4 linked regions of the Yarrowia lipolytica genome follow. The protein of the gene in region 1 binds, or shares a complex with, the protein of each later gene. Links are inferred from orthologs where the notes say so. Each region holds a gene or a part of one and is shown on either strand. Other genes may lie near its edges. The genes, in order: YALI1_D07124g, YALI1_D13790g, YALI1_E07306g and YALI1_B19567g.

Region 1 (5,003 bases):
TTCAGTAACAAGTACTGTACTGACAAATGCTTCCTCGACTAGCTCGATTGAGTCCGGTGTCTGTGTGTCGGGCGCCACTTGCGCGCTCGTTCCACGTGACCGCCACTCGTCTCCATGATCCCTATGGGCTCGAGACCGCGAAGCAGCCCAAGGGAGGCAAGCGACGTAAGGAAATGTCTGTTGAGGAGATTTCCGCTGCCAAAAAGGCCCGTGAGGCCGCTCTGTTAAAGAATGTGCGTCCCAAGGCCGAGCAGGAGCGCCAGCAGGCCAAGGACGAGGCCGAGGAGAAAAACAAGCGACTCAAGAAGCTCGCCACGTTCTCCGTTCTCTTCACAGCCGCCATCGCCTACACCTGGCTTGTGGCCACCAAGCTGCCCGAGATCCAGAAAAAGGGCGAGGCCAAGCGGGAATTGCACAAGGGCCGAACTGACTTTGACCGAACCGAGACCGTGGCTGCTCCCCGAGACACCACCGAGTGTTACGATGCGCTGGCCAAGGTGTACGACGACAAGATGAAGTGGGAGGAGCGATGGGGTCTGATTTTCCGATGGAGACACAAGGTGGCCAAGGAGTTGGAGGGTGACGTGCTTGAAATGTCTTGCGGCACGGGCCGAAACATCGACTACCTGGACACCCGAAAGGTCAAGTCCATCACGTTTGTGGACTCTTCCCTGCCCATGCTTGAGGTGGCCGAGGAGAAGTTCCGAAAGGCCTTCCCTCGGTTTAAGCGGGTGCAGTTTGTGCAGGGCAAGGCCGAAAGCTGCTACGATCTGGCCAAGGACTCGGGAATGAAGTACGACGTGGTGTTTGAGACTTTTGGACTGTGTTCTCACGAAGACCCCGTCAAGGCTATCACCGAAATGAAGCAGCTGCTCAAGCCTGGAGGAAAGGTGGTGCTGCTGGAGCACGGCAAGTCCGCCTGGGAGTTCATCACCCGATACCTGGACAAGAAGGCCGACGAGCGAGCCAAAATCTGGGGTTGCAGATGGAACCTCGACATCCCTCAGATTGTGCGGGACAGTGGCATGACCGTGGTCAAGAACAAGACTGGTGGTTTCGGAACAAACCACCTGTACATTCTGGAGGTTCCCGAGGAGCCGAAGGTCGAGCCTGTCGTCAAGGTCGAGACCAAGGTTGAGACCAAGCCCGAACAGAAGTAATTGTATATATGTAAATAGTATCAAGGAATATACCTGATCGAGAGACTGTAGGGAAAGAAGGGCGTCAGGTAATGTAGATCGTGTCACATGATACAGCATGTGATCACAATATATCCCGAATGTGCTTACTGCAGTCCGAAGGAGTTTTGGACTACGACAAGTACATGCAATAGATCTCTCTCTCATCTACGAGTGTTTTCTTCGTCAGAAATGTACGTGCCATTGATTTAAAAAAGTACTTTATATCTGTAACTCTCCATGTCCAGAACATAAAACATACAATGCTAATCTTCATCTGTTATAAATACATTTATATCTGGCCCGTGTCCAGTCTTGCATGCAGAGCCACAGCCAGTGCTACTCCCTAGATGAGTCTCCGCTTCACACCCAACACTCAGGCTGTACCTTCAAAGGCATTATGTTCACGCAGCAATAGCCTTGGCAGCAATAATCTCCTTTGCCTCCTTATCAATCAAGTCTCCAGCACTAGGGTACACCAAACTGGCTTCGTAGGCAGCAATGACTCGATCTTCGGTGATACCAACCTCATTAGCAGCCAGAGCCTTGAAACAGTTGGCGTACCGCGCAATGTTCTCTCTGACAGACCGGGGAATGTCCTCGTTCTTGTCACTGTATGTCTCAGTCAAAGAGGCCTCTTCTTCCAGTCGAGTGATACTTGTGGTGTTCTCTCGAGTCAGGTGAGAATTGGCCCAGGCCATACATAGCCAGATCCAGCCATTGACTCCCACCACAGTGTCCACTCCGCCAGGCAGTTGGTGAACATGGCTCTTTGCACGCACAATCAGAGCGCTGGGCACAGTGATGAGAACTCCGTTACGCAGTTTACCGTACCGCAACGAACGGGTATGCAGAGCAGCAGATCCGTCCTGGTACAGCGACTGAACCTCTGTGTTGATGAGATCTCCTTCCTTGAGGAATCCTCGCATCTGCAGCTCGTCGGACTCCTGCTTTCGACGCAAAATACCTCCGGGCAGGTTAACGGAGCCCAGCTGAAGCACAGCCAGCTGCTTGGCGCCAATGTCGACCCGCCATCGCTTCACTCCCACGTCCACAATCCGTCCCACCACGTGGTCTCCGATCTGGGGTTGGTATCGGCCTCGCAGCGGTACCACACTCAGCAGCTTGTTGGTCTTGGTCACCACTCCAGCAGTGGATGAGAAGGTCTTGTTGCCCACCGAGTAGGTACCGTGGCCTCGCATCCAAATGGGGTCCTCTGTAATCAGCTTGCCGGGCGTCACCAGACCCGCAGCCACGTTTGCTGCCTGAGCATTGTCGTCCATATCTTCGTTTTCGTCGTCAGACATGACCATCTGCTCCTCGGCGTCCGAGTCGGCGTCCGAATACACCATTTCCACGTCTTCCTCCTCTCGGGGAGTCGCCTTTTGAATCGTCAAGATGGCCATTGTGTTGCACTTGTGGATGTAATAAGGGTGGTTTGATGGTGGATATGTGCCTGGGATATTTTTCTAAATCAAGGTTTGAGTGTGGCGAAGAGAAGGATATGAAGTGGGTGGAAAAACGGGGTATCGAGTATATTTACGGATTATTTGAAGATTGAATAAGACTCTAAGGAGAAATAATAATATATTTTTAATTTTCCCCGAACTTTTACGACTTATATTGAGCAGTTTTATTTTACCCAACTATTATGTAGACAAAATCGGTTCAAAATTCAGACAAAATCGATTTAAATTTCAGACAAAATCGGTTTAAATTTCAGATAAAATCGGTTTACTTCCAAAAGTGTATAAAATCATTTTTTAAGAGCATATAAAACAATATCACTATGAAAATTGATAGAAAAATCGAACTTGTTCTTTTCTGCAGAGATATATCAAATTCGACTCAGATTTCAATTATTTTCCATGAATTATTTCAACAACTTTTCATACCACATCAAACTAATTACTTAGGTGTATTATTCATTCACAATGCATCAGAACCTAATGCTGGATAAGAAGTTTTCAACATGCACGATTTTTTAGTCCTCTATGAAGTTCAACTTCTGGAAGGGTCTGTGGAAACCGAAATCTCTCACGCCGACTCTCTCACACCGTCTCTACCGCAGAATGTACACACCGCAACCCCCGTTGAACCGCGAAATGACGGTTTTGGACCGGTCCAAGTTCACCGTGTCTCTCAACCTGGCCCTGGCCAAGTTCCCTGATCCGAAATACATTGCGCAGTTCGCCAAGGAGTGCAAGGCCGACATTTTGCAGCTGCGAAGCATTAACCACGTTCAGAAGACGGACGACAATGGCCGGGCCGTTCTTCTGAGACACGATCTGGATCTCGAGGGAGGTGAAGATGTAGCCTCCAAGGTTATGAGCCAGCTGAGTCCCCGAGGAAAGGAGCTGCTGACCGAGGCCCAGGCAGATATTACCAAGATTGTGAAAGATCTCGACTACGACTTTTGGCGAGCCGACGAGATTTTCTACTCCGTGTTGCCAGTCACGGAGAAAGACGAGATTCCCAGTGGATTCTCCATGGTGGGACATGTGGCTCATCTCAACCTGCGGTCTGAATGGAAGGATTACGACCGACTCATTGGCCAGGTGATTCTCGATAAGAACCCCCGAGTCAAGACCGTGGTCAACAAGGTCGATTCTATCGACACGAAGTTCCGAACGTTCAAGATGGACGTTCTGGCCGGTGAAGATAACACCGAGGTGGAGCAGCATGAGAGTGGCTGCCGATTCCAGTTTGATTTCGCAAAGGTGTACTGGAACTCGCGACTGCATACCGAGCACGACCGGCTGGTCAGCCTGTTCAGAGGAGAGGCTTCTTCGCGTGAACGTAAGCAGCAGGAGCGAGCCAAGAGAGAGAACCACGAGAAGAGCACCGAAACCGCTGTCGAGCCCGACAACACACCTGCTACGGCTGTCTGTGACGTCTTTGCAGGCGTGGGTCCCTTTGCCGTTCCCTCAGGACGAACTTCTCTGTTTGTCATGGCTAACGATCTCAACCCTTACTCGTACGAGGCTCTGGAACATAATGTCAAGCTCAACAAGGTCTCCGAGTATGTCAAGTGCTTCAATCTCGACGGCGCAGAGTACGTGCAACAGAGCATGAAGCTGCTGGACGAACACAGAAGGACCCAGCCCACTATTAACCCTGTTCAGGTGCGAAAGCGAAAGGCCGGACAGCCCGTGGTCAAGCAAGACATTCCCAATCACTACAGCCACTACGTCATGAACTTGCCCGACTCGGCCATCGAGTTTCTGTGGTCTTTCAAGGGTCTGTACACGACTGTCGACGGTCTCTCCCAGGACACTCCTCTTCCTCATGTCCATGTTCATTGCTTCCACAAGTGGGAGGCTGGAGAAGAAGAGCCCTCCAAGGAGGAGACCAAGGCTGCTCTTTTGGAGCGGGTGTACAAGCAGATCGACGTGCGACTGGACCCCAACGAGGTTGGAATGCATTGGGTTCGAAAGGTGTCTCCCAAGAAGGACATGTTTTGCATTTCTTTCGAGCTGCCCAAGGAGGTTGCATGGGCCCCTCAGGTTAACAAGGAGTAAATGTATATATATGTATTATAATGGTAATGACGGCGATGAATTTGCAGAAGTACTCAGGACAGTTCTTTCGTGAGTGGGTGATTTTTCTTGATTTTTTCGATTTCTTGATTTTTTCGATTTCTTGATTTTTTCGATTTTCTTGATTTTCCCATTATTCGATTTTCCCCATTATTCGATTTTCCCCATTATTCGATTTTTCATTTTTATGCCGAAATACGAGTATTGTACCACTGGCACCATAAATACAAACCATTCATGACTCCCACAGACCTGGACCAAAGACATCGTACTTGTATCTGAACTC
Region 2 (4,626 bases), about 670 kb from region 1:
TTTTTGGCTCCACAAAATGACCAGTCGGAAAGACGCAACCGAGAATAATAATGCCGCCTACTTGGATCGTAGTTGTAACAAGAATCAATCTCCGAAAAAAAAGGATCACGAGCCCCCTCTACAGTGTCTTGTACAGTGCACGCTGCTTATTGCACTCTCCAACTGCATGACATCTACCTCAACCATGAGACATCTACAGTATGTACATACGGAAGTATTTAGCATGTGCTATGAAACTACCGGCTTGATGGAGGGGTAATGTCTCACATGGGATAATGTATGTAAGCGGAGCTTGTATCGTACCTTGGACATCTGGGCAATATTGTAGAGAGAAAGTCGTCTTGTGTGATGTTTCATGGCCAGAGTCATTCACCCATACAACTATCTCATACATATATTAGTTAGATATCGGGGTTCGTTTGTTAAAGAGCTAACATGGCCAAGTCTCGACATCATACGACAGGGAGCTGCTTGAAGTCACTTGAAAGATATCAAAGGAAATAATACAACAATGAAAGCTTTCTGGAACATGTGGGATGCCAAAGAATTTCCATTAATTACTCACTGGATGGAATTTATCCGTTGATAGTGACTCCCACTGTCATCATCATCTAGACACCCGCGGATAGACTCAGGTGCCGTTATCAAACGGTATCCACAGTGAAGTTGATGTAATCCGTTGTATGAATTGTTCATTGAATCATCTTAGCTGCTCTAGGGCGAATCAGTAAAGTGATGAGTACATATCATCTGCTACAGGTACTTGTACATTCTGTAGTGTACTGTACGTACTGTTCAATATCAAAATACATTATGTGCAAAGCTGTGGTCACTTGTATGACACGACCAATGAAATCTAATACAGTCGTGCACAAGCATTGTGTATATGTGTAAAGGCTCATCCTTTCTTTCCAGGTGCTTAGAACAAAGCACCATCCTCCTCGTCAGCAGTGGCGTCGAGCGCAGCAACAACCTCGGGAGCGGTGTTGGTAAGCAGAGAGTAGGCCTTCATGATGAGCTTTCGCGAAGTACCCTTCATGTTCAGGTCGATGCCCTGCTCCAGCATGCTCTGTTGCTGGCTAAGCTGCTCGGGAGACACGTTGCCTCCAGCAGATGCAAGATCGATGATTCGTAGAGGAGCGCAGACCTGGCCGTTGCACCAGCCCATGATGAGGCCAAGGTCAGACACAGACTCCTCTTCGTGGGTGGGATCGACGAGAATGTTGTTCCCTACCACTGCCAGAGAAAACACCAGAGGCGGGGTCCACGAAATGGCCTCCGATCCGGAGTTGTTGGCCAGAATCTCGCCTCCACAGAGCGCCAGAGACTCCTCCCAGTCGTCGGAAAATACAGGGACCTCCTCGTGCTCCTCGTCATTGGCTGAGGACACCAGAAGAGGAAGACGTGTGCATTTGAGAGCCAGGAAAATGGCCAGAGACACCAAGTTCAGAGGAAACGAGGTGTGCGACAGCACCAACGCGTCAATATGTAGCTTGAAAGCATAATTGGACCGGGTCAGACGAAGCCGGTTTGTGTCAATGCTGGAAAGAATGAGCGTCTGCAGTACGGCAGACAGCAGCTTGGGCAAGGGACTGTCATCTCTGATATCGTCAATATCCACCTCCACGGCAATCAGTTCGTCCACGGACGAGTTCTTCACCACCTTGGCCTTGACTCCCACAATGCATTCGCCTCCGTCCGACGTTCTTATTCGGGCTGATCCGTTTGTTGCTGGCAAAAAGTTCTGCGCTGCATCCACCGGCCGGAATTGGTTGGGCTCTCGGGCGTCTGGTCGGATCGTGGGCGTGGCCTGGAGCGATTTGCGGAGATAGTCGATTTCTGCTGGCGAGAAGGGCATCGTGTGGATATTATGTGTAGCGTGTGCGGTGTTGTATACGCCTTAAATTTTTTAAGCTGAGGGTGGATGGCGATAGTGGAAAAATAATTGTGCATGAAGGTGGAAGCTTAATTTGGAACTTTCTAAATTTTTTGGTAGTGCTGATTCAAAACGTCATATCACAAAAACCGATGCTGGATCTGCTCAAAAAACTGGATCAGCACACGCTGGGGAAACACGCGGATGAACTCACCGACCGCCTGGTCGGGGCGATCGGTCCCTCCGTGTCGGCTGACCTGGTGAACCAGGCCAAGGACCTCCAGCTGCTGGAAGAGATCTTGACACCCCAGGTGTTCCAGGAAAAGGTGGCCAATGTGGCCGATAAGTGCGCCGAGTCGATTGGTACATGCTCGGAATCAATCACCCTGGTCTCGAGTCAGATCCCTCTGCTCTCCAGGCTGCTCTTTGACCATGCATACAACAACCTGAGATCATATGTGTCCCAACCTCATCTCAACTACCTGGTAAATGCGGATCTGCCTGCTGTGGAGGAGTCGAATTCTGGCGGATCTGTTGACGTTGAGACCGCCGCAGTATCTCTCAAGTTCCTACAATCTCTTCTGCTCAACAACGACCTGGGTAACCCACAGCTGGACTCTCTGCTTCTCCATGTTGTCTGTCTGTCTGACTCTGATCTGGTCCATTCTGCTGCCGTGCTTCTCAAACTGAGAATGACCAATGTAGCTACAAGCGCCCTGGCGTCGTATCTGTGGACCATTGTCTCCGATCTCGTCAACTCGTCCCTGGACGACCACAAGACCGTGGGATACAAGCTGTGGCTGTGGTGGCTGAGTGCATGTGACTCTGCTACCCTCGAGTCCGAGACTTTCCAGTCGCTCTTCAAGACTGACCTTTACTGGGCCTGTCTCCTCAGGCCTCTTAAGACTACCTCCTACGACCACAAGAAGCTGGCCCTGTACATCATCTCAAGATCTGTCCAGCATATTGTCAGCGACATTTCTCTGGAAAGCATGCAGTGGTCCACAACCGACAGAGATGTTCTGCTAGAGCAATGGAAACGTTTTGCTACTCTCACCGAGATCATCGCCATTGACTCTTCCTACAACCAGACGGTGGCCTGTGAGGGAGATATTCTCATGTTCCTCGGGCCAGAATGCAAGCTTGCTCCTCGTTGGGGTATCGCTCTCATTGCCATGGGACTCAATGCTACCATGGACACCGTGCGGAAGTACATGGCCAAGGTTGTTCTTGCTCTGCCAATTGCTTCTCTGGTTGTCTTTCAGCATGACATCCCTTTCTTGGAATCCAAGCTGCTGCCTTATCTTCTCGAAGCTACCCATTTCCAGACTGCTAGACACGACGATCAGAATGTTTGCATCTACGGTGATACTCTGGAGACCTTTATCGAGGGTCTCTACACCACTTTTGACAAGTCTCGAATCGAAGCGCTAACCATCTGCATCTTCAAGCTGCTCAACATTCTGAGAGAAGGATTCGACCCCTCCAAGATCTACGCACTAGCAGGCGTCATGTCTGGACTCAAGGCCACAGAGTTCCAGCTGAGCGACGCAGCATTGGACGCCTTTGCTCCCATGCTGCTGCTCACGTCCGAGACAGGTGTCCGACGAAAACTGCAGAAGCTGTACCTGGCTAGAATTTGCCTCCATTTCGGCCAATCTCTGCGAGTTCTCAAGCTTCTGTCTCAGCTGGTTACCCTCGAGACTATCATGACTGGTCTCAACTTCAAGCTCACTCCAGATGCCGAGCTGCGAAAGTCGATTGAGGATCTGTCCACGTATGCTGTCTACCTGTACGGTTCTTGTGAGACCTGCAATGTTGACGAGGCCGCTGCTCAGCTCAATCTCCTTCCTGTGGGTGTTTCTCTGGGCCTGAAGAACATGGGTCTTACTGGCGTCCCTACAGTCTCAGTTGACGATTCCATCCTCTCATCTATCCAAGCCACCCAGGCACTTGCAAAGTCCAATCTTTCGGAAACTAACACCGATTCCATCGAAATTCGGCTCGAAAAGTTGAAGTTCCCTGACGATATGGATCTGACTGCTGCTCAGCTCACTCTTCTGGCTGCTCTCAACATCAAGAACGGAAAGGGAGACTTTGCCAACACGTTCGAGTACCTCAAGTCTTCGCACATTGTTTCGCGAGACCTGAAGACTGACCAGACTATCCAGTCGTTGAACAACCTCATTGCTGCGAAATTCGACTGTCTCAACACTACTCTTGCTCATCACAGGGTCACCGAGCCGGTGGACGTGATCAACTTTGCTACTCTCAACTACTCCGTGGCTTCTTCGTGTGAGTCTCGCTACGCTATTGTTGCTTGCATCTACAGAGTGGTTGAGCAGCTCGATGCTGCCGACGAGAAGACCTGCTCGGTCATCCAAGATACTCTGTTCACCATCTGGGACGAGATTATGAGTACCGGACTTGTATCTTCGGCCAAGCCTGTTCATTTGGCTTTCATCGAGCTGCTGCTGAGCAAGTCAGTTCTTCAAAAGTGCACCGAGAACGACTCACTGGCTGAGACGGTTCTCGATATCGCCTCTACTCTGGTATCTCAATGTTACGCTCGTCGATCTTTGCTTCCTCTGGTGGCCAAGAAGCTGCTTGAGTTTGGAGGCACTGAAATCGTCAAGATTGAGGGAGCCCATTCTCTGGTTATCGAAATCTACACTCTTCAGCAAATTGACGACACTAACTTCCGACTTGAGGATGCAATTGCTACTCGATACGATACCGAAATGGGTAAT
Region 3 (4,573 bases), on another chromosome or scaffold:
CCAGGTGTTGGTATTTTGGCCTTCTTGTGGACTCTGGAGGGTATGGCATTCATCAAGTTCGTCGAGCAGCCCCACATGCAGCGAATCTACGGTACCAGTATCCGACACGATGCTGGTGTGACCAAGACCATTAAGAACTCTCTCAAGTTGCCTTCTCCCTTTGAGAAACGGGTTCGACAGTTCCAGGGATCCGTTGACAAGGTTATCAACGATACTCTGACTGTGGTCGAGGAGTTCATTGGACTTGCCAAGCCTACTCTCAACGAAGTTGTCAACGACTCCAAGATCCTGTTGCGACAGTACCCTGCCAAACTTACCCTTACTCGAATGCTGGATGTTCCCGAAAACATTGACACTGCCGATTACTCTGTGAAGCTCGTGGGCGGCGAGAAGTGTGCCGATTCCAACCGAATTTCGTACGCCTTTGGAACCCCCATTCATGTCAAGTGGCAGGCTTCTCCCAACAGATCGGCAAAGGACTGGATCGGTCTGTACCGAGTGCACGACAACACTTCCCCTGAGGTGACTTCTCTTCCCTCCAAGGGCCGATGGTCTGGAATCGACGAGACTGGCCATGAGTCGCATCTCGACGGTATTGTGTCGTCTTCTAAGACCAATGGAGAAGTTGTTTTCCGAGGGGACACACTCTTCTGGGAGTGTGGAGTCTACGAGTTCAGATACCACCATGCTGGCAAGCACACTGTGCTCAGCACCTCGGAACCTTTCGAGATTGTGGCTCCTAAGATTGATCTATCTGGAGAGGTGGATGCAAAGACTCTGGCTCTTGAGATCCTCCCCATCGTCCAGCGATGCTTCTCTCTATCTATGGAGTTCCCTCCTGAGGAAGTGGACGACTACTGGGCTCTTGAGGAACCCAAGGTGATCAACAGAGTGCAGGCTGCCGTTCAGGCGTATTTCAACGTTGAGCTGGCGCAGGAGGTGCTTCAATCGGATGAGTCTGTGGAGAATTTGGCTGAGCGACTGCTCAGAATTAGAGACGCCCTTAAAGGTCTTACTGTATAAAGGAGGAGAATGAATATGTATGAATAGATTGAAAATTGTTTGCAGAGAGCATATCTGGAAGAACGTGTGTGTGTGTGTGTGTGTGTGTCAACAAATATCGGATCAAGTGAAGAGCACAAACCAGAGTTGCGAGTGACGTGTAATTCTGGGCCACGGGCTACAGACCTTGACGTAGGGGTCTATAGTAGATAGAATGGTGATGACAGTACATTGATTGACCGCAATTGACACTTACAACTACGTAACATGTAATGTTCAATGCGTTATCTATGTAATATTATGTACCCGTAGTTTGGTTGGTTGTGTTTTAAACGCGACATCAAGCACCCTAGCTGCTGTATGACTCTGTGCACTCCTCCATTCACGTGGTCGGTGAACCATTCTATCGGTGAGGATACTTATGACACCCTCAGTATGTTGTGCCACTAAGTTTTCCACGCATGCTCACAGACTCATTCCAGTCATTCCTTATTGCTCCAACAAAACTCCATGCATGACTCCTCTGATCTCCCGGGCCATCTCCTCGGTCTTGTCGAAAATCTCCTCCATCTGCTTCTCGCTCACGTTACCGCCTTCAATCCACATGCCCACAATCTTCTTGCTTGCTGCCATGTAGGATACTACTCCGTCAATCTCGCTGGTAGGTGCTCTTGAGGGCGACACAGTTGCCTTGTTCTCATCGAGCAGCACACTTCCTGCTGTCACAATATCGGTGCACTCGAGACCGGAATCGGCCAGAGCGGCGCCAGCGCACGAAACTGCGGCAGCCACGGTGGTCTTGGTATTATTGGAAGAAGACAGAACTGATATGCTGACATCGATGGTGGACTTGGGGTACTTCTCGACCAATATGCTGGGCAGGAGAGAGGTGTGGACGTACGATGAAACGTTCTTCTGCAGAGAAGAGCTCTGTGTGGTGCTGGCAGATCGAATGTATTGGGTCAGCTGGGTGGAGCTAACCACAGCACTCTTACTCTCAATATCGCAGAGAGAGACAGGGAGAAATTTTGTGTCCACGTTCAGGATGGCCGATGTTGTGAACAGACCTCTCATAGGTCGAGGACCATGGACAATGGCCACAATTTTGATATCATCCAGCTCCAAGTAGGCCGATCCGTTTGCGTTTTCGACCACTCCGGTCTTGACGAAGATGCTGCCGATATCCAGGCTTTTCTGCTCAACCTCGGTCGGCTTGATGTTGTCCAGGGTGAATGGCACCGCGTCAGCAGGCCCCAAAACTCGTCTTCGGTCAGTCATAGTGTTGTGTGGTTGATAGTGAAACTCACAAATAAATTTCTGCACGATGTTGGTGCAGGCGTGGTTAGCGTTGGGAGCGAAGTTTATTTGGTAGATAGCTAATTACGTAAGCTGCGGGTGACCTGATTTTGATACAGCGTGGTGGTGCTGACTAAAGACTTCTAATACGACAAACATGTAGCAAACGAAGATAGCAAATCAATTGGTAAGCAACTAAAAGGCCCTTATGACTCAACCTTAAACCCAAACCTCCCTTTCTCTATATATAATGTCCTCAATTATTCATTGCTCCACATTATCTCCGTTTACCCTAACCCAACATCAAGGTTGACGACACTTAGTTCCACACGATTCCTTGCCACAGTTCAATCTACACTTACACAACTACCACTTTTGCAATGTCAGACAAGTCAGACAAGATGCAAATCGACAACGCAGGCGAAATTGATGAGTCCCTGTACTCGCGACAGCTCTATGTGCTTGGACACGAGGCCATGAAGAAGATGGCCAACTCCAACGTTCTTATCGTGGGTCTCCAGGGTCTGGGAATTGAGATTGCCAAGAACATTGTTCTGGCTGGAGTCAAGTCGCTGACTCTGTATGACCCCGGCAAGACCGAGGTTGCAGATCTCAGTGCCCAGTTTTTCCTGCGAGAGGACGACGTGGGCAAGCGACGAGACCAGGTGTCTCAGCCTCGACTGGCAGAGCTCAATTCGTACGTTCCTGTGCACGTTTTGGAGGCCAAGGATCTCTCCGAGGAGGAGGTGGCTCGATTCCAGGTGGTTGTGCTGACCAATGCTTCTCTAGAAGAACAGATTCGAGTCAACGAAATCACACACAAGCAGAATATTGGGTTTGTCAGCACAGACACCCGAGGTCTTTTCGGTAACATCTTTGTCGATTTTGGCTCATCTTTTGCTCTGATTGACGCCAACGGAGAGGAGCCCCATTCCGGAATCATTGCCGGTATTGACGAGGAGGGTAACGTTGCTGCTCTCGATGAGACTCGACACAACCTTGAGGATGGAGATTATGTTAAGTTCACTGAGGTCGAGGGTCTCGATATCAACGGTGACACTCCCCGAAAGATCAAGGTCACAGGTCCTTATTCGTTCAATATTGGTTCTGTTGACGGTCTGGGCACCTACAAGAAGGGAGGTCTTTTCACCCAGGTCAAGATGCCCCAGGAGATTTCGTTTGGTTCGCTCAAGGAGCAGCTGGCCAAGCCCGAGTTACTGATTTCCGACTTCGCCAAGATGGAGCGACCCGCACAGCTACATGTCGGCTTCATGGCCGTCCAGGCGTTCCAGCAGAAGCACGGTCGAGCCCCCCGACCTCAGAATACCGAGGACGCCAACGAGGTGCTGCACCTGGCCAAGAGCGTCACTGCAGAGTACCCCGACGTGCTTTCTGGAGGCGAAATCGACGAAAAGCTGCTCACCCAGCTGTCTTTCCAGGCCGCTGGTGAACTGCCCGCCATGACTGCTCTCTTTGGTGGAATGGCTGCCCAGGAGGTACTGAAGGGCTGCTCGGGCAAGTTTGGCCCCATCCGACAGTGGGTCTACTTCGACTCTTTGGAGTCTCTGCCCAAGGACGTGGCTCTAACTGAGCAGTCTGTGGCTCCCACCGGCTCGCGATATGACCGACAGGTTGCCGTCTTTGGTAAGGAGTTCACCGAGAAGATTTTTGCTGTTAAGACTTTCCTGGTTGGCTCTGGAGCCATCGGTTGCGAGATGCTTAAGAACTGGGCTCTCATGGGTCTTGGAAAGGACGGAGAGATCCACGTGACCGATAACGACGTGATTGAGAAGTCCAACCTTAACCGACAGTTTCTGTTCCGACCCAAGGATGTGGGCAAACACAAGTCCGTGACCGCTACCGAGGCTGTGGCAGAGATGAACCCTGATCTCAAGGGCCACTTTGATGCCAAGCTCGACAAGGTCGGTCCCGATACCGAGAACATCTTCGACGACTCGTTCTGGAAGTCTCTGGACTTTGTGACTAACGCTCTGGACAACGTTGACGCCCGAACCTACGTCGATCGACGATGTGTCTTTTTCCAGAAGCCTCTGCTCGAGTCAGGAACCCTGGGAACCAAGGGTAACGTGCAGGTTGTCTACCCCAACCTGACTGAATCGTACTCTTCCTCCCAGGATCCCCCTGAGAAGGGCATTCCCCTCTGTACTCTGCGATCTTTCCCTAATAAGGTTGACCACACGATTGCCTGGGCCAAATCCATCTTCCAGGGCTACTTTACCGACAATGTTGAGTCTGTGAATCTGTTTCTGAGCCA
Region 4 (4,816 bases), on another chromosome or scaffold:
TATGGACTTCAGCAGTTCTGAAGGCTCGAATGAGTCCGAGGAAGAGGAGGAAGTGGAGGATGATATGGAAGAAGAAGAGGACGAAACTGCGCAGGAGGAACTCCAAGAAGCATCGACTCTCGATACTTCCCAACAACTTACAACTGCATTCGGCGAGATTCTCGACTGGGCTCCTGCTCACGGTTTCCCTCAACCTGTAACAGCCGACAAAAAGGGTGGTGCTCTGACTACCATATCAGGTTTCCAGGCGCTGGTTAAGGACGACGAAGATATGGAGTTGCTCCAGGAGGCCCTGGAGGGTATTGAGCCTGAAAAGATCAACGGAGAAGCATGGACGTGGACCCATAAACATCTCAACGAGGCTGTAGCCAAGGAAAACGCAGAGTTCCCCGAACTGGCTGCTCCCAACGCGTTTGTTAACTCCACTGGCTCATGGAAGTCTCAGGGATACTTCAAGATCCCTGAGGCTGCCAAATCCGAATACCTGCCTCACCGAAAGAAGCTCAACATCCCCATCGACACGCTTCAAATGGAAAACCGAGAGAAAAAGAAGGAGAACGCCTCCAACTCGCGAGTTAACCGTGCCAACAACCGGAGGCTGGTGGCAGACATCAACATGCAGAAACAGCTGCTGTCCACCGAAACCGATGTGCTCAACTTCAATCAGCTGCGAAAGCGAAAGAAGCCTGTCAAGTTCGCTCGTTCAGCTATCCACAACTGGGGTCTCTATGCTATTGAGCCCATTGCAGCCAACGAGATGATCATCGAGTACGTCGGAGAAGTTGTGCGACAGGAGATTGCCGACTTGCGAGAAGCTCGGTACATGAGGTCAGGTATCGGATCTTCATATCTGTTCAGAGTTGATGAAAGCACTGTCGTGGACGCCACAAAGCGAGGAGGTATTGCTCGGTTCATCAACCATTGCTGTACCCCCAGCTGCACGGCCAAAATCATCAAGGTGGAGGGTCAAAAACGTATCGTCATCTATGCCTCGCGGGACATTGCTGCCAACGAGGAGCTCACATATGACTACAAGTTCGAAAAGGAGATTGGAGAAGAGAGGATTCCCTGTCTGTGTGGCGCACCTGGCTGCAAGGGATACCTCAATTGATAGCACCAGTAATGTATTTTTATCATGTCTAAAACAAGTACTGTATCCGCGAGTGTTTGCACTCGTATGCTATTCTATAGACTTCTTCTACATGTAGCACAAGCACAATACAATAGTACCATTAGTTCCGCCAATTAGTCTATACATGCTTATATCCATCTACTCTTGCTTCGACAGATCCAACGCGTTCTTAATCTCGTTGAGTCCAACTCCAGTACCCTTGCCCACAAAAGAAAATCCAATAAGCGTGTCTTCCCGGCCACGCACAATCTGCAGCCGAGAGCCCTCACGGGTGCTGGAAGTGGCAGCCTGCTCAACCTCTCCTTGGACATCTGCTAACAGCACACTGGCAGCATCTTCAGAGGTGTCCATCTCGTCGTCTTCGTAGGCATCAGTCTCTGGCTTGGGTTTGATGAACCCGAACGACCGACTGCTGTGAATGTCAAGGTCGTCGACCGGAATTGTGGTAAAGTCGTGGGTGAGAGTGATTCGTCCGGTATCTTCATCAATCTCCATCAGAGGAATCTCTGTATCCTTCAGAGCAGCCAGAACAGCAGCCCATACGTAGTCCTGCACAGGTCCGTTACGACTCAGGACAGTCACATTGGCATGCAAACACAGGTATCGCTTCTGGTGCTGGCCAGCGTCAAACACGGCCTCGTCTTCCTGTCCCTCCTTCAGAAAGTTCTGGAGCTCGAAGAATTGTTTGTTTGCCTTGCAGGAGAAAATGCCCTTTTTGAGCAGATCGGTAGTCTTTCGGCTCACCACCTGCTCCTCGTCGCTGGGAGGCCCCCCCATTGCTGCACTGCTTCCGTTTGCTCCTCGCAGAACCTCGACGTTAACAAAGATTCCGCCCTCTTCCTCAGACACAGATCCGGTAACACCACACACAATACTCATTCCATCGGCCTGGATCAACGAAGAGCCCCAAACCAGAGACGCAGACTTTTCGTCGGATCCCACGGGCTTCTTAAGACCGCCCAAAAAGTGGTTGATCTTTCGGTGTTGTGTGAAGGCTCGGTTTGTAGCTGGTCGCAATCCTTGGTTGAGATGTCTGTGTAGATATAGATCGGGCACAAGTCTCGAAAATACCTCCGAAGGGTATGTGATTGGCTCCATATTCGTCATGTTGTGTGTCGTTCAGTGTAAATTAAAGATTCTTCAGGCGTTGTGCATGATACGAAATATATTTTCGACGTAAACTTAGTTGTGGCTCGTCATGTGTAGGTGAGGGGTGTACATACTGTACATACTGAACAACATGATGGTTATAATATTGACATTGAAACGGAAGAACCGAGATCAAAAAAATATAAAAATATCGAGGGTGCTTGGAATGTGTCTATTCAAAAAAAACAACAACAAAAAACTCGAAATCTGCTCTCAGATATCTCCATTATTACAATACCTTTTCCAAGTAACCTTGAAAGAAGTAGTTGAAACTTGTGGGATTTTAGTTTGAACGTCTAGGGCCATCATCGTTGGACTCTTATGCAAAAAAAGGACACTTATGAAATATAAAGACAAGGGCGGTAGCTGTTACAGTTCTTTTTGGGCCCGGTCTGGATATCTGGCATCTCTATTTCATACCTTGAACGACAACATTGTCACTCTCATGTTCAAACAGCCACGTGATCGCATGACTCCTCGGCTATTGGGAGTGACCAGCGATGGGCTGCCGGTTACGGATGTACATACTTGTACAGAATGTGGGGTGCATGGCGTGACTTAACATGTACTTATAGAATCACCTGTCTTATATTGCAACGTTAGAACGCTCAAGTAACCAAATGTTCTGATTTTTTTTTCCAGCTCGCACCCTATGATGTCACTCTTCCCTCTCTGTGCTATTTTAGACTTTAAACCTCCATCACTCACATCTCATCTGCATCCCTGAGTTTGGTCCTTGCTCACTCTCGGAAAAACATTTCATTTAAACACCTATCTTTAACTACAACTCTCTTTCTGACCCCAAATCACCAACCATGCAAATCACAATTGTCGGCTCGCTCAACTACGATCTTGTCACCATCTCCAACAGACTCCCCAACGCTGGGGAGACCATGTTCTCCCAGGGCTTTGAGACCCACTGCGGAGGTAAGGGAGCCAACCAGGCTCTTGCTACTGCCAGACTCTCTTCCAAGGTCCCTGATGTGAACGTCAAGATGTACGGAAAGGTCGGCAAAGACAACTTCGGTACTCAGTTGAAAAACAACCTCAAGGATTCTGGCGTGGACGTGTCTGCCATCCACGAGCTCGACACCAAGTCTGGAGTGGCTGTCATCTTTGTGGATCAAGACTCTGGAGAGAACCGAATCATGGTCTACGCCGGAGCCAACGGCGAGTGGACTGAGGCCGATCTCACTGACGATCTCTTCGACACAGACATGCTCATCTTCCAGAACGAGATCCCCATCGACATCGTCTACAAGGCCATCGAGAAGGCTGGATCTAAGAAGCCCAAAGTGGTCTACAACCCCAGTCCTGTGGACGAGCGAGGTAACATCCCCGCCGCCGTTCTCAACAGCATAGATTTCCTCGTGGTCAATGTGACGGAAGCCACTCTCATCTCTGGCGTCGAAATCAACGAGGAGGCATCGAAGGAGGAGATCTGGAAACAAGCTGACCAAGCTGCGGATACCCTGTTCAAGATGGGAATCAAGGAGGCCGTTGTTGTCACTCTGGGAGGTAACGGTGTCATTTACAAGACCAAGACTGATTCTGGACATGTTCCTTCTAACAAGGTCGAGAAGATTGTCGATACTACTGGTGCTGGAGACACTTTCCTTGGAGGTTTCTCCACTAGCATTATCCAGGGAAAGACAGTCTCCGAGGCCATTGCTTTCGGAAACAAGGCTGGTGGTATTGCTGTCACTCGACGAGGTGCTGCTGAGGGTATCCCTTACGATCATGAGCTTTAAGCACATTTTAGACTAATAAAAATGAAATATAATGAATCCATGGTTGGTAAAATCGAGGGAACACATAACTGTATAATCTAGTCATTCAGGTACAAGTATAGCTTTTTGTTTTATTCTTATGATCCATTACTAGTTTTTTTATTTTTATTCTACATTTCCCAAGGTTACACAATGACCTTGCAACGGTGACTAAGCAGCCGAGTTACCGGCCAGTTGCAGCCATATCCTGGTGAAAATACGGCTTCCCGTCCGATCAGCCATAGTCAAGCACCAGAGAGCCTAGTTAGTATTGTAGTGGGAGACCATACGAGAATCCTACAGTAGGTGCTGCAATTTTTTTGTAGTGTTCTTTTTTTAGGCTAAGTGCTTGTCATTGGTTGGTCATACCTACCTCTACAGTATGTAGAGAGGTATGTATGCAAGTAGTTACCTCTACTCCTACTGTACTGGCAGTGGATGAACGAAGATCTTGAGGCTTGCTCTGACGTTCATGAAGTAATATAACCGACTACATCATGTACTTGTACCAGTCCTTGTACTGAACATTACTGTACATCATCCTGTTGGGATATTTCTCGATCTGTATCTTTATGCAAGGATGCAGCTCAACTTCAACCTTCGGTGGAACTGAGGGAGAAAATTGTGAGGGAGATCAAAGTACATGGACGAGTAATAAAAGATATGAGACTCAATAGTCGCCGGTGTCTACTGAATTCATCAACCTCGTTAGTATAACTACAGTAGTTTCTTAGACTGCTCGTATGGCTGATGACAGTGCTTAGAT

What was found.
Region 2: YALI1_D07124g (region 1) and YALI1_D13790g share a complex: the UniProt entries of both Schizosaccharomyces pombe proteins name them as parts of the RNA exosome complex. The link is inferred for Yarrowia lipolytica from reciprocal best matches to the Schizosaccharomyces pombe genes rrp4 and rrp42.
Region 3: YALI1_D07124g (region 1) and YALI1_E07306g share a complex: the UniProt entries of both Schizosaccharomyces pombe proteins name them as parts of the RNA exosome complex. The link is inferred for Yarrowia lipolytica from reciprocal best matches to the Schizosaccharomyces pombe genes rrp4 and mtr3.
Region 4: YALI1_D07124g (region 1) and YALI1_B19567g share a complex: the UniProt entries of both Schizosaccharomyces pombe proteins name them as parts of the RNA exosome complex. The link is inferred for Yarrowia lipolytica from reciprocal best matches to the Schizosaccharomyces pombe genes rrp4 and rrp43.

The regions. Positions count from the first base shown.
Region 1 is NC_090773.1:710,003-715,005, reverse strand, and holds YALI1_D07124g (uncharacterized protein), read right to left. Parts: upstream 2,585-5,003; coding exon 1,583-2,584; downstream 1-1,582. Other genes in the region: YALI1_D07149g (uncharacterized protein), read left to right, coding at 27-1,160; YALI1_D07118g (uncharacterized protein), read left to right, coding at 3,173-4,699. UniProt on the Schizosaccharomyces pombe protein: Non-catalytic component of the RNA exosome complex which has 3'->5' exoribonuclease activity and participates in a multitude of cellular RNA processing and degradation events.
Region 2 is NC_090773.1:1,376,293-1,380,918, reverse strand, and holds YALI1_D13790g (uncharacterized protein), read right to left. Parts: upstream 1,859-4,626; coding exon 920-1,858; downstream 1-919. Other genes in the region: YALI1_D13788g (uncharacterized protein), read left to right, coding at 2,029-4,626. UniProt on the Schizosaccharomyces pombe protein: Non-catalytic component of the RNA exosome complex which has 3'->5' exoribonuclease activity and participates in a multitude of cellular RNA processing and degradation events.
Region 3 is NC_090774.1:728,367-732,939, reverse strand, and holds YALI1_E07306g (uncharacterized protein), read right to left. Parts: upstream 2,281-4,573; coding exon 1,492-2,280; downstream 1-1,491. Other genes in the region: YALI1_E07347g (uncharacterized protein), read left to right, coding at 1-1,023; YALI1_E07302g (uncharacterized protein), read left to right, coding at 2,679-4,573. UniProt on the Schizosaccharomyces pombe protein: Non-catalytic component of the RNA exosome complex which has 3'->5' exoribonuclease activity and participates in a multitude of cellular RNA processing and degradation events.
Region 4 is NC_090771.1:1,954,531-1,959,346, forward strand, and holds YALI1_B19567g (uncharacterized protein), read right to left. Parts: upstream 2,240-4,816; coding exon 1,271-2,239; downstream 1-1,270. Other genes in the region: YALI1_B19520g (uncharacterized protein), read left to right, coding at 1-1,111; YALI1_B19576g (uncharacterized protein), read left to right, coding at 3,097-4,032. UniProt on the Schizosaccharomyces pombe protein: Non-catalytic component of the RNA exosome complex which has 3'->5' exoribonuclease activity and participates in a multitude of cellular RNA processing and degradation events.